Linked DNA regions of Mus musculus: region 1 is reported to be linked to region 2. Evidence: microRNA targets listed by miRTarBase, many of them from high-throughput screens and not tested one by one. Region 2 holds a microRNA gene; the other region holds the end of a gene's coding sequence.

What was found. The annotated mature microRNA mmu-miR-871-3p reads UGACUGGCACCAUUCUGGAUAAU and lies in region 2 at 1,714-1,736, opposite strand. An mRNA with a match to its seed (bases 2 to 7 or 8) in the 3' UTR can be bound and repressed. Matches are read on the target gene's strand: a 7mer-m8 pairs with bases 2 to 8, a 7mer-A1 pairs with bases 2 to 7 and ends in A, and an 8mer does both.
Region 1: the mRNA of Stk32b is a reported target of mmu-miR-871-3p. Seed matches in the 3' UTR shown: 7mer-A1 at 3,212-3,218 and 7mer-A1 at 2,694-2,700.

Annotation. Positions count from the first base shown.
Region 1 is chr5:37,445,209-37,449,276 of GRCm38, forward strand. It overlaps Stk32b (serine/threonine kinase 32B), which reads right to left. Exons shown (of 12, transcript NM_022416.2): 12 at 1,617-3,583. The coding sequence ends at 3,445. Among named protein-coding and RNA genes, the nearest start is that of Evc2, 110 kb to the left of the region's middle.
Region 2 is chrX:66,808,725-66,812,792 of GRCm38, forward strand. It overlaps Mir871 (microRNA 871), which reads right to left and starts at 1,780; the gene lies at 1,704-1,780.

The sequences.
Region 1 (4,068 bases), not on the chromosome of region 2:
TAAGAAGGTGCTGTGTAGTAGTTCCTTCAGAACTGAAACATTGTATTTCTAAGGGAGGCTCCTTGAGTCCCAGGAAGTGAACAACATACAAGTCTTAGAAAGTCCCTGAAACTTATGAGGTTCAAAAGCCCCTTTCTTTCCTGGGGTTAAACAGTAAAACCTGCTAAAGAGAAGAGATTCTCCCATCTGTTGAGCAGCTTCCAATTGTTCAGAGTACTCCAAGACTACAGAATCCATGAGTCATCGCTCCTACTGTGTTGGGTTTTTGCATGGTATAGCTAGCTACCTTTGTGTCCCATACTCCTGTAAGAAACTCCAGTGCCCTCATTGGTTCACCAAATTGGACTTTGGTAGAATTCTTTCAGTGTGTTGTCAGTGTCCTGTTTGGGGTAAATGGTGTTTCTGTGTCTCCTCAGGCAGATCTCACACAGAAAAAGGGATAATGTATTTAATCTGATTGCTCTTCTGCCACAGCTGGGTTGAAGTCATTCACTCTGGGAACGGAGGTTGTATGAGAAAGAATGAAAAACACATTTGTAACTTGGGCCTCATGGAAAAGTGGCTCTGAAGAGGGTCAGTCCCCAATAACATTGAAGAGAAAAAGTCCTGAGAAACGCAGGGGAAGTGGGGAGTGAGTTGGTTAGGCGGTGCCCAAAGCAAATACACACAGCCAGTTTGTGTTGTGTTCCTCTATCTCCTTCATTAAAAGCCTGCTGCTTGCCCCTTACCAAGCAAGTTCTGTGAAAGCTACAGAAAATGTTCATGGAAGCCCACACGGAGTAGCTATACCTGGCATGAATTAGTGTTGCCACGAGTCCCAGGGGCCTTGGAAGAAGTGGTATTAACCTTTAACACTGATGTGATAACCTACACGGTTGGAAGCTGAGATTCATCCCAGTGGAGAGGAAGACTGGAAGGTGGTGAGGAAAACCGAGACGTCCACAGGCAATGAAGGCATTGGTTCCTGTGGTGCTGAGTGTGAGAGGTCCAGGTAGCAACTTGAGAACATCAGAAAGCATGTTTTGCCTATGTGCACTATTCTCTGGCTTTCTACCATGGAGGATAGATTCTCTCTTTACAAACACATAGCTGTAATATAAATTATAGTCACGTGGGGAGACCTTCCAATAAGCAAGCTCAATTTGATCTGGGGGGAAAAGTCAATGTGTCCTTCGAACAGCAACCCATAGCTTGAATCTTGTGTCTCCCAACAGTTTGTGTTCTAAAAGCTTGGTCCTAGAATGGTGATATTTAGAGGGAGTGAGACATTTGAGAGGTGAGTCTTGATGGAGGACTCTAGTTCACTGGGGGCATGCTCTTGTGGGACACAGTAGGACTCTGACTGCTCTTTACTCTTTTGATCCCTGGCTCCCATGAAAGTCAGTCCACCACACACTCCTGCCACAAGCTGCCTCCTCATGGGGCCTTAAAGAAAGAAGCCAAAAGAAATATTTTTCTCTTTCTAAGTTAGTTATCTCAGGTGTTTTGCTGCAGTGACAGAGAGCTGATAAACTCATCTTTTCACTTTGTCTCTGCTTCTGATTAATGTGGAGCCCCCTATGGATAAGAAGGTTTGTCCCACCCATCCCTGAATTAAGAGCCATTTACAAGGAACATCTGAGTGCTTATTTATTCTGAACAAGGAACATGGACTTAAACAGAGCCAAATAATCAGGGTCCCCACCGTGCACCTCCCCTTCACCACCTCCTCTCATTCACAAGCTCATGCCAAGAAGACATTATGATACTTCTAGGTCACAGTGTAGAGAAGATCGGCTGGATGTTCTGCAGGGCAGGAAGGGCAGACAGGGGCTGGAGACAGTACAGTGGGCAGGAGATAGACATGGTGGGGGGACTCAGTTAAGGGGGTGGTACAATGCAGTTATTTGAAAAGTGTAAAACCTTACCATACATTAAAATGTCTCTCAAGAGATCTAAGAGATGACACTGATAGACGTGAATCATAGTGAGAAAGTGGAAAATGGAAACAGAGGCTGACGTGAAAACACTTGATCTCAGTAGGGATGTTCTTAGCGGGGATGTCCAGACCTCAGAGGCTCCAGGTAAGAAAAGAAAACAAACTGTAAACTTGGAGGATCCTTGGTCCACAGAAATCAGACCTGCTATGTCACCAAAACAGGAAAGTACCTCCAACAGAGGAGGATTGCAGTCATGATGGTGGTGATGATGATAAATATGAGGAGGAGGAAGAGTAGGGGGAGGGTAGAGAAGAGGGAGGAGGAAGAGGAGGAAGAAGAAGAGGAGGGAGATGAGGAGGAGGAGGAGGAAGAAGAAGAGGAGGGAGATGAGGAGGAGGAGGAGGAAGAGGAGGGAGATGATGATGAGGAGGGTGATGGCCAACGTCAGTCATCACTGTGTGACACATGGGATCTTATCAAGTCCCATAACAAGGCCATCCTTCTCCTTCCTTTTTTGAGAATGAGAAAATTGACCTTTGAGCAAGCACATGATTTGCAGAGGTCTTCCAGTCTTGGCTGCAGCTGCCAACTGGCTTTCTTTGCTAATCTCAGCATCCTCAGCTCAAGGGTCAGCTGGTTCCTGGCCAGGGTATAAGATACTTGGCTTCTTGAGTGATTCTGCTTGTGTCTACAGAAGACTCTAAGCACCGAGGCTTCCTAAGGTATCAACAGGAAGCTCTGACTACCCAGCCAGGGAGCCTTTGCATGACAGGCTGACTGGACTCTTATATTCTTCCTGGTGGGGACTGAGGTCACGCTGCAGGATGAGTCTCCTCTGGGATCCCAGGACACTCTGTGGTGGGGAGGAGTGGCCAGAGACACAGTGCCATCTAACACGGGGATGTGGGGATATGGTGATAGCTGGTGATTGCTGGAATCCAAATGTGGGGGCAGCCTTCCACGAGTCAGGGAAAAACCTGTTTGCAGCAGAAACTCCTGGGCTTGGTCTTTATGCTGCACCATTCCAGAAGGCCAGGAAGTCTGTGTGTGACTCTTCCTGGTTGCTTTGGAACCTGGAAGTCCCATAAGAGGGACAAACATATCAGCTATTTATGTTGTTGAAAGTTCCATCAAGCAAACTAGGATGGGCCAAATTGCAAAGTTCTCATGGTTAAAATTGTGTGGGGGCTAGGGAGGACACTTTAGATATTGAGATAATTTACATGTATAAACACTTGATCAATGCCCAGGAGTTTACATATCTGCAGTCCAACCAGATTCTCACAATTTTATGACTGGAGATGGGGCAAAGAGCTGTTTAACCCCTTCCACAGATGCAGAAAACTGAGGCACAGAGAATGTGTGATTTGCTCAAGGTCACACAGCGAATCAGCTGGAAACAAGGACCAGAACCCTGAATACAGAGCTCTTCCTGCATCTGATGTTTTAGGGGTGAGATGGGGTCCATCAGGGGACAGGGGGGTTCTGGGTGTCAGGGCAGACAGTGTCATCTGGGCAGTCGAGTTTAGCTGCTGCAGCCTCGGGGGCATGTATGGGTCAGGATGTTATTGTTTCGACCATCCTGCAGCTTGCTTGAGGTCTGGCTTCCTATTCGGCCATCCAGGTCTGAGAGTTGGCCATTATGTCCCTGCTGCCTCCTGAGTCTGCAACAAACACAACATAGACTTAGTTAGTGGTGGTGGGCTGGATGCAGCTACATGATGGTGAGAGATTCCTGAGAGACAGCTGGAACCTGGCCTTCCCAGGAATGCATGACTCTCTGGGAGTTCCCAGTGCTCCGCTTGGATATACCAGGTGAGTGACTTAACACACAGAGCCTCAGTTTCTCTGACTACAAAATGGAGATGATAATTCCAACCTTGCCAATCCCTGTGGTAGTTATAAAGCATTACAGACATAATTTGCTAAGGTTCAAAACCAGGAGAGTTGTCTGGTGAATCTATGCACCATTCGGTCTGTTTATACCCATGAACAGAACAGTAGCCGTGCTAAGGGCAGGGGCTATGTTGGAAGGCAAAGCAGCCCCTGTCCTCATAGAGATTATGTTGCAGAGGAGATATTCTCACAAACAAATATCTGTATAATCAAACACAAAGACAGATGAAACACTTCACAGCAAGTCATGCTA
Region 2 (4,068 bases):
AATTACAACACATTTACCTGATATTGTTTTCACTACAAGGAAAAATATAATCTCCTTTATGTCGATCTGTAAAGGCTCATGAGGAAATAAATCCTATTTAAAAAGTCTGGGTTTTGCAAGTATCATCAGAAAACCTAAGGTTAAGGAAAATGCTTCAAGACCACTTACACTATCCCTTCCAGAACCCTGATCTTATGAGAATCATACAAGCTTGACTCTACCCAGAGAGTACCTGGCTACATTCATTTAATCCTACCAGCACCAATTTGCGACTGTCCAGGGCATATTTAATGAGTAGGTCATTTCCTAGACTTCTCCATGACACCCAGTAATAATGCACATTGGATTCTTCTTGTAATCTATTGAAAGCATCAGGAGAATTGCCCACTTATTAGTTACCTTATCTTTAAATTATATTAGATTATATCAATTGCCATTTCCTTAGATGAATGACAGTAAAAAGATATGAACTTTTATTTGCTATTTCTTCTTTATATACAAACTATTTTAATATTCTTTATCATTTTGCTTGAAAATGTACAAACATTATTATAGGCATATAATTGAAAATATACTGAGGATGAATAATTTAGTCGGGCCTGACTAACTCATTTTATATAGCCTATGAATTACTATTATGAGGCTAAGAATGGATAATTAAAACATTTTGAAAATAAGCAAATGATCTACAGGGTCTAAAGCTAATTATAAATATCCAGGAAGACACAACATGGGTGATTTCATCTACACCTACATTATCATCCAAAAGCCATTAAAAAGAGGTAAAGATAAGCCTTCCTCTACCCAGAGAGCTACTGTATACTTGCAGTTCATTTGAATAGCCCCACTGTGGGAAAAGAAATACACAAAAGACAATGTGGATCTGGTACACCAGGAATTTCTACCTTTCTGTTCATCTTTCATCACAGCACTAAAAAAACATAAACCTATACCAACTTATGACTTATTCATAATTTCAGAGATAACAAGATATTCTCTCTCACCATTGACTTCTATTTAACGGATCCCTTAAGTTCCATTCTATGTGAATGACTGTGTCAACTTGGAATGAAGATGTGCGGTTTTCTTTATTACCATTTTAATTATACTTCCTCATTTTCGAATCTACTCTTTTTAATTTTTTAATCTAACTTACTGGTAATAACATTAAAAATTATTCATTGATGTACCAAATTCACTCTGAAAATTCCTAATAGGCAGGTAGTGAACAAGAAAAACTTGTATCAACATATTTTCTAATGGACCAAAACATGTATCACAATCATGACTGATCTGCTGTGATAAAAATTAGACTTCCTCATACTTACTGTGTTTAGAGAAGAATCACACACCTCCACCACCACACTTCATTCAAGGAAACAAATATATATTCCTTTACATTATATTTTTCTCTCTGGATGCTCTGGACTCTTGTTTGTTTGTCTAATTGTCAAAATTAAGTATATAAAATTGTATTCATTTCATGTTTTTACCTGTAGTATAAAGGTACTTAGTATCCTCCAATTTTATCTTCTATGAACTGTAAGTGCTCCTGAGTTGTGATTTCTAGAAAAGAAAATATTTTCTATAATTATAGATGCTACAGGAATCAAATGACAAGCTGAAATTATGGAAGGCATGTAACATTCTTCGAAGTATATACTACCATGAACATCCAGGGTCAAATCACTTGAAGAATATAGTGAGCATTACATTATCCAGAATGGTGCCAGTCATATGTATTTCACATGACTGGCACTAATCTGAATAGAGCACTGCACACAACTCACACAACATAGATTTGTCAATGCCCCAGCCTTAATCTTACTAGAGCTATTTATGAGCCACAGACAACAAACCCAGTTTCACCTGGAATTTTCAGAAAAAAAGATTCTCATGGATCCTATCTTCCTGTCAAGAGTTGAGTCATGAAAATAAGCCTTTTTTAGTTTTCCACTAATTGTATTAGAATGTCTTTAACAAATTATCAGAACTTTTAACCAAATTACTTCCTCTGAAAAAAACTTTAAATATAATACTCAATAGTCCAAATAAGTAAATGAGGTGATTTGTGATATTTCCTGTGAGCAGAAAAGCCATCATAAGTATATTTTATCTCTCTGTCTGCCTATTTTTTCCTTTTTCTATTGATTTAATATAGCACATTATTTTAGGACAGTATTATCTCATTGTAGTACTTTATATGCCCCAATACAGGGGAATGCCAGGGCCAAGAACCAGGAGTGGATGGGTAGGGGAGCAGGGAGGAGGGAGGGTATAGGGAACTTTCGGGATAGCATTTGAAATGTATATAAAGAAAATATCTAATAAAAAATAAAACAAACAAACAAAAAACAAAAAAAAACCCCAAATGTCTATTTTTATTTATTCACTTTCCATTCCTAACACTGCCACCCCAATCCTTCCTCCCTTTCTTCCCTGATGGCGGGGGGGGGGGGTAGGTGGTTGGGTAAAATCCCACCCTAGTATACCAAGTTTCTGCCAGGCTAGACACACTCTCTTTGATGAAGGACAGAAGGCAACCGATTAGGGGAATGGATTTCGTAGACAGGCAACAGCATTAGCAATAGTTCCAGCTGTTAGGACCCACATGAAGATCAAGCTGCCCATCTGCTTCATATGTACGGAGAGGCCTAGGTTCAGCCTGTGTATGCTCCTTGGTTGGTAGCTCAGTCTCTAAGTGCCCCAAGGGTCCAGGTTAGTGAATTCTCTTGGTCTTCCTGTGGAGTTCCTATCCTCCTTCAGGTCCCAAGATCTTTACTTCTGTTCTTCCATTAAGAGCCCACAAGTTCCATCTACTGTTTGGCTGTGACTGTCTGAGTCAACTGCTGGGTAGAGCCTCTCAGAAGACAGCCATGCTAGACTTCTGTCTGCAAGATAACAGAGTATCATGAAGAGTGTCAGGGATTGGTACTTAACCATGGGATAGGTCTCTAGTTGGCCAGTTATTGGTTGGCCATTTCCTTAGGCTCTGCTCCATCCCTGTCCCTGCATTTCTTGCAGACAGGATAACATTTGAAATGAAAGTTTTGTGTGTAGATTGGTGTCCCTGCCTGGCTACAGCAGATGGCCTCTTCAGGTTCCATCTTCAGGTTCCATATTCCCAATGCTGTGAGTCACAGCTAAGATCACCCCCACTGACTCTTAGGAACCTGCCCTATCCTAGTTCTCTGGTGCATTTTTTTTAGTATTTTATTGAATATATTTGCATTAATATGACAAGATAAATCGGCCTGAAATTCTTTTTCTTAGTTAGCAGTATTCCTTCTGCTTCTATTTTGTGCAATAGTCTGAGCAGTACTGGCATTAGCTCTTTCTTTAAAAGCCTGGTAGAATTCTGCACTAAAACCACCTGGGCTTTTTTCTTTTGATAACTGTTTCCCTTTCCTTAAGTGTTATAGGGATGTTTCAATAGTTTACTTGATCTTGATTGAACTTTGGAAATAGGTATCTTTCTAAAATGTCTTACAATCTGTTAAAGATTTTCCAAATTTATGTAGAACAGGCTTTTAAAGTAAGAGCTAATGATTCTTTGAATTTATTCAATTTTATTTGTTAATGTCTCCCTTTTTAATTCTGATTTTGTTTATTTGGATACTGAAAGTAGGGAAACCTCACAATGGGCCGAACAGGGCCATAGCTACTTTCCATTTTTTATGGAGGTCCCTTCATATGCTAATAGCCTGGCACCTCCCAACAGTGGGATAGTTGGCTACTCCAGAGCTTGTATCAATACCCCATTGGTCCAAAAGCTGTATAAAAACACTTGCAAATGCACAATACATTAGATCTGTACTCAGTGATGATCTCTAGAGTTGATTTCCCCAACTCCACTTGCCAAAACTGCTCCTGAATTCTGGTTCATCCCACAAAATAGGTTAGAACAGATAATACACTAAATGTACAAAATAAAGAAAAAACTGCAACCACAAAAAGGCCAGGTATAATCTGAAGAATAATTTATCAATATTATACCTGCCTTTTCAACAGAAACAATAACAGCCACAGGGCCTGAGAAGATGTCTTACAGCTTCTAAGAGACCACAG